Linked DNA regions of Rattus norvegicus. Each later gene encodes a partner of the first gene's protein in a complex. Links are inferred from orthologs where the notes say so. Each region holds a gene or a part of one and is shown on either strand. Other genes may lie near its edges. The genes, in order: Tjp1 and Gjc1.

Region 1 (3,828 bases):
CAGAGTGGGCCAATTCATTTGTTGTATTTACTGAGGAATAGGACGGAACTACTGTCCAGTATAGTCAGCTGTTTCATGACTTGTCTGTTTCTTTGCTCTGCCCTCTAGGATTTCGGGTAGATTGGGCTCTTTGCTTATAATGAGAATCATTTATTGGTCCTAGATTAAAGTTTTTAAAAAGTCCCTTTTAGGGTTGGGGATTTAGCTCAGTGGTAGAGCCCTTGCCTAGCCAGTGCAAAGCCCTGGGTTCGGTCCCCAGCTCCAAAAAAATGGGGGGAAAAAAGTCCCTTTTGCCGATAACATTGATATGGTTCTCCAGAACTGATTTCTTTCTTCTTTAATTGCTTCTCACCTGCTGTGAAACACCTTAACAAACAAGCACTGAGTCTGCTAAATTCTACTAGAAAACTCCTGAGGCAAAGGAAGCCTACATTTGCATGTATAGCATGAATATGCTATTTTAGAAGATACATGCTGACTATGCCATTAAAGCCCAAATAGTCATAACTGTCAGTAAAAAGATGAAAGTCCAAAACAAAACTAGACCAATCTTGAAGAACAGTACCTGACATTGGCCTACGCACACAGACAAAAGGGGGGAATCAAGATAGGATTAGATTTTTATGTTCCATTGTCTTTGTAAAATTAGCTCCTAAAAATCATTTTGTTCCTCATTATCAGGCTCCCAGAGCCTCAGAAACCTCAAGCGAAGCCACCTGAAGATATTGTTCGATCAAATCATTACGATCCTGAAGAGGATGAAGAGTATTACCGGAAACAGCTCTCTTACTTTGACCGGAGAAGTTTCGAGAGCAAGCCTCCTGCACATATTCCTGCTGGCCATCACTCAGAGCCTGCCAAGCCAGTCCATTCTCAGAGTCAGCCGAATTTCTCTAGTTATTCTTCAAAGTAAGTTGTTTCATCTGACTCACCTAAGAGAAACAAGCGGTGGACTTGCATAATGTAGAGTTCCAAGTTCTAAGGAAACTGGGTGCAGTATGTAGCTGCACATTGTGCTGCTTTCTAGAGGCTGTAACTCCTGGTTTTTACTCTTAACCCTAACATCAGATACACAGAGTTTTGATGTAGGGAAAGTTGCTAAAAGCAAGAGTTTTGATGAAGAATGAGCTTAAGACCCTCAAGTTAAGATGAGTCTTCAGTCTCTCCATAGGGAGACAAACTGAGTGATAATCCTTTTCTTATTTTGTTTTTGTCTTTAAGACATACACCTAGGTAGGTGAGAGGGTCACAGGGAACACTCAGGTATTTTTTGGTCTTGGTTTCACAGAGGTGAGATAAGCTGCCTTTTTCTTTATTTTTCAAACACAGAGTGTTTGTAGAGTTTTGTAGTCAGGCTTTATAGATGATCAGGTGAAAATGAAATGACAGGTTTCTTGATTCTCAGTTTTTTCCTGTCTGCTTCTCTCTTCTTTTGTGACTTCTGTATTGGTGCACTTTTTTCTTGCGCCTGGTAGATTAGTGCTTCCTGCTGCTGGTACATCGCTGCGTGGATCCTCACAGAGTTTGGGACTGAGCGTTGGGTATGATCCAACACAGGCACCAATGGGCTCATACTCCACAAATCAAGACCAATAGAAACAAAAACAGATGGATTTTGTCACAAAGAATTTGTTTATAAAATTATGGGAGCTGCCCAAACAAATCCTAAAATGGTCTGGAGAGCAAAATCCAAGAGGTACTTGGGGGCCTCTAAATTCAGGGAAGGACTACATTCTTTACCTGATAAATTTAAGAGGCGAGAGGCATCCATTTTAGCTGAAAACCCATTTCTAGTGCACCACCCTGCTTAGTCACTATAAGTAAATGGAACTGTGGCTTGGGCATAAGATGTGAGCTTTGTGCCCAAGATTAAAGCACGCACATTTTTACTAAACCTCAACTGTTAGGATTATGTGAAATTGTTATATAGTACTGAGTAAAATTCTTTTAGATTATATTTTAAAACTTGTAATATTAAAGATCCAATTTAGTTACTTCTGTTTTCTGAGATATCATTAGTAAAGATTTAGAACATCTTAGTCTCTTTAAATCTTTGTTTCTATTGAAGAAATCAGTTTGTGAGAAATGCTGATGCAGTCTTTGTACTGCAGTGGAGAATTGCATTAAATAATATATTTTTCTAGCACAACATTATACAGGTGCCTGGCAATATCTAGATAATCACTTAAGCTCAGGTTTTGGTAAGGCAAAGGGTATATTATATAGTAGTCATTTTATCTTTAAAAATAGTGTATATGAGTCTTTTGACAACATATATGCATGTGCACTTTATATGTGCCTGGTACCCACACAAACTAGAAGGGAGCATCAGATCCCTTGGAATTAGATTTAAATATGGTTACGAACCACTATGTGCCTGCTGGGAGCTGAGTCAGGGTCTTATATCAGAGCAGCAAGCACATGTAACTGCTGAGTCATTTCTTCAGCTCCATGTAGTCACTTATTTTAAATATATCTTTAAGAGATGAAACAAAATGCATTTATTTGTTTGGAAAAGGTGGGTGCACCACATTGTACCCATGAAGTTCATAGAAGAACTTTTGGGAGTTTGTTCCCTTCTTCACTATGAGAGTCTAGGTAGAGGGCGAATGGGAGGATCCAACCTCAGGTTGTCGGACTCAAAGTCAGTGCTTTCTTGCTGAGCCTTCCTCTTGGGCCCAGAGGTGATCACTTTTAAACTCATTAATTCCTGTTAGAAGAGGGCCAGGGTATTTAAAGAAATACTTTATAATGCCTTTTACATGCCTGATAAATAGGTTATATCCTTAAAAATACATTTATGCTGGGGCTTGAGAGATGGCTCAGTAGTTCTTCTAGAGGAATTCAGTTCCCAGCACCCACCTGGCAACTCACAACTGTCTGTAACAACAGTTGCAGGGGACCCGACCTCCTTACACAGACAAAGCACCAATGCTCATAAAATAAAATTTACAAAAATATATATGCCGCTGAATCAGATGGAAAGTCGTTCGTTTTTTGGCTTTTTGTTATTGTTGTTGGTTTGATTTTGAGACAGGGTCTCATATATTGCTGACTGTTCTAGCAGGCTGTCTCCAAATTCACAGAGATCTGCCTGCTCTGCCCAAGTGCTAGGATCAAATGCATGCACTACCAGGCCTGGCTTGAAAAGCACTTTTGATTTTATGTTAATTCAATTTTTTTTTAAAGAGTGAAAACTTAGTTATTGTGTTACATAACGTGCATCTGGGGTCTGGAACACTGTCTGGAACCCAGTATTTACTGATTTAATGGTGCTCACTCTGTAAAGAGTGCAGTGCTAGTTGTGTCAGACATCCACCCTACTGCTAATCACACAGGTCTGGGAGGAGCCTGTTCTAGTAATGGTTCTCACTGGAAGCTTTGCCATTGAAGTGTAGGGGTGGATTGGTGGCAGGTAGTACTTTGTTGTTGTTCATGTGACGTTGTTAAGGGAGAGAAGCTGTGAACGTGTCGTGAGTGTCAGCTTCACAAATAAGCATCCTCCCGCCACAGGATTCAGCTTTCTACAGCAGGGCTTGCTAGAAAAGAACAGAACATCATTGATCATGGCCATGTTTGAAAGGTCTGCATGTTTTCATTTGCCAATTCATCTTTATTAAGAGATCAGTATACCTGTCATGTCAATGTATGTCCTTTCTCCTGTCTTATGTCATTTCTTTTGCCCAACCTTTTTTTTTTTTTTTCCCAAAATTGGGCTTTACTTATTCATGATTTGTTGATTATTATTTGATAATTGCTTATTGTCTTACTTCATTACTTTCTCCTTTTTGTTACTATAGCAGAGTTATTCTGTATAGTCCAGGCTGG
Region 2 (2,578 bases), on another chromosome or scaffold:
CACCAGTCACTAATTACTTTTGGAAAAAACATTAAGGAGAGGGGCTCACTATGTATCTCTGGCTGTCCTGGAACAAACTTTGTAGACTAGACTGGCATTGGACTCAGATTGCCTTGTCTCTGTTTCCCAAGTGTTGGGATTAAAGGCGGATGTCACCACTCTTGGCTTCTTAATAACTTTTAACATTCTGTTACCTGCTTTAAAACTTAAGCTTTCTAGTAAACTGCCCTTCGTAATGGAGTCCAACCCAAGGGTCCCTTTTTAAAATGGTAAGCTCTATGACTGGACCAGAAAGCTACCCCAGTGTCTGGATGTCCAGAACACACTAAGTATGTAACACGGTGTGCTGCCTCTGAGACAGCGTCAGTGAAGTAGGAACAAACAAGACCGTGTGTGTGCAGGCATGGAGGACAGTGCTGCCTGGCCCCCAGCTGCTGCTGTGAGGGGCAGTGATAGTTGGATGTCTGTACGACTCTGAGTCTGCAATGGGAAACCTCTCAGGTTGCAGTGTCCCCAGAGATGCTATGAATTTACGTGGTTAGGGTTGGATTATCTGTGGGACTGGGCACCAAAAATAGACAACTATTTTTAGTGTTTGTTGATTTCCCCTGCTTGGTACTTTCCACCTTCCAGGGCAAACCAATTCCACCACCATGAGTTGGAGCTTCCTGACTCGCCTGCTAGAGGAGATACACAACCATTCGACGTTTGTAGGGAAGATCTGGCTCACTGTGCTGATTGTCTTTCGAATTGTCCTAACTGCGGTAGGAGGAGAGTCCATCTACTATGATGAGCAAAGCAAATTTGTGTGCAACACAGAGCAGCCGGGCTGTGAGAACGTCTGCTATGATGCCTTTGCCCCGCTCTCCCACGTGCGCTTCTGGGTATTCCAGATCATCCTGGTTGCTACTCCCTCTGTGATGTACCTGGGATATGCTATTCACAAGATTGCCAAAATGGAGCACGGCGAGGCAGACAAGAAGGCAGCTCGGAGCAAACCCTATGCCATGCGTTGGAAGCAGCACCGGGCTCTGGAAGAAACGGAAGAGGACCATGAAGAGGATCCTATGATGTACCCAGAGATGGAGTTAGAAAGCGAGAAAGAAAATAAAGAGCAGAGCCAACCAAAACCCAAGCATGATGGCCGCCGACGCATTCGTGAGGATGGGCTCATGAAAATCTATGTGTTGCAGCTGCTAGCCAGGACTGTGTTTGAGGTGGGCTTTCTCATAGGGCAGTATTTCCTGTATGGCTTCCAAGTACACCCATTTTATGTGTGCAGCAGACTTCCTTGTCCTCATAAGATAGACTGCTTTATTTCTAGACCCACTGAAAAGACCATCTTCCTTCTGATAATGTATGGTGTCACAGGCCTCTGCCTATTGCTTAACATTTGGGAGATGCTTCATCTAGGGTTTGGGACCATTCGAGACTCACTAAACAGTAAAAGGAGGGAACTTGATGATCCGGGTGCTTATAATTATCCTTTCACTTGGAATACACCATCTGCTCCCCCAGGCTATAACATTGCTGTCAAACCAGATCAAATCCAGTACACTGAGTTGTCCAATGCTAAGATTGCCTACAAGCAGAACAAAGCCAATATCGCCCAGGAGCAGCAGTACGGCAGCCACGAGGAGCACCTCCCGGCCGATCTGGAGACCCTGCAGCGGGAGATCAGAATGGCCCAGGAACGCTTGGATCTAGCAATCCAGGCCTACCATCACCAGAACAACCCCCATGGTCCTCGGGAAAAGAAGGCCAAAGTGGGGTCCAAATCTGGGTCCAACAAAAGCAGTATTAGTAGCAAATCAGGAGATGGGAAGACCTCCGTCTGGATTTAATCTTGGTTGGGCTTAAAGCTTGGGTTTCCATAGTTTATGGTAAGCAGCAACTTGCTGAATGATGACTCCCATTGAGTAAACATCTGGCTCTGGTTATCTTCAGGGATGCTGTTGGCTCGTGATCCAAACTCAGGGGACTGAAAGTGGATCTGGGATGAGTCCGGAGCGGGAAACACAGTGTTCCCAGGCACAGGTTCTCAGCAATAATGCAGTTGCAGAACTCTAAGCTGTGTCTTCCAGATCCGGAGAAGAACAGATATATTTAAATCATTCTTGTTGAACAGTTTTGTATGTACAGTATTATGGTACATTTTTTTTTAGTATGATAACTTTTTTGTATTTGTACATTGGACTGCTGTAGTTACACTTTTTTATATTAAAGGAAAAATCCTTGTAAATAATGTCTGTTAAAGGGCAATGTTATTACTTTGTTTAGCAAATATTATCTTGTGACTGGAGTTCTAGTAGATGGGACTTTAATAAAGTGCCTCTCGTGTTTCAGGAAAGATTTCAGATCCATAGGGAAGCCGAGGCAGAAACACCAGACTTGAAGTGTTTGGAAGAAGATCCCTGTTAGAGAGAGGTTGGAACCTTCCTTCTCCTGGAGAGATTTTGGAATCTCCTTCCTGTGACCAGAGTTGTGGCTGTTCTTGGAAAATATTTCCAAAGGAAGTCAGTGATTTGCTGCAGATCTCCTTTAGTCACTCAGCATGGCTGCTGTGTGCTTCGTGTGT

Evidence for each region.
Region 2: the proteins of Tjp1 (region 1) and Gjc1 are in contact, whole or in part, in a crystal structure (PDB 3SHW), measured with the Homo sapiens proteins. The link is inferred for Rattus norvegicus from reciprocal best matches to the Homo sapiens genes TJP1 and GJC1. Residues at the interface, in NP_003248.3 of Homo sapiens: Lys429, Ser432, Val433, Gly434, Leu435, Arg436, Leu437, Gly449, Val450, Leu451, Val484, Leu487, Leu488, Leu549, Asn551, Gly552, Lys553; in NP_001073852.1 of Homo sapiens: Lys391, Thr392, Ser393, Val394, Trp395, Ile396.

The regions. Positions count from the first base shown.
Region 1 is NC_086019.1:128,273,354-128,277,181, reverse strand, and holds part of Tjp1 (tight junction protein ZO-1), read left to right. Parts: intron 1-681; coding exon 682-909; intron 910-3,828. UniProt on the Homo sapiens protein: TJP1, TJP2, and TJP3 are closely related scaffolding proteins that link tight junction (TJ) transmembrane proteins such as claudins, junctional adhesion molecules, and occludin to the actin cytoskeleton.
Region 2 is NC_086028.1:88,262,504-88,265,081, reverse strand, and holds the end of Gjc1 (gap junction gamma-1 protein), read left to right. Parts: intron 1-633; 5' UTR 634-653; coding exon 654-1,844; downstream 1,845-2,578. UniProt on the Homo sapiens protein: One gap junction consists of a cluster of closely packed pairs of transmembrane channels, the connexons, through which materials of low MW diffuse from one cell to a neighboring cell.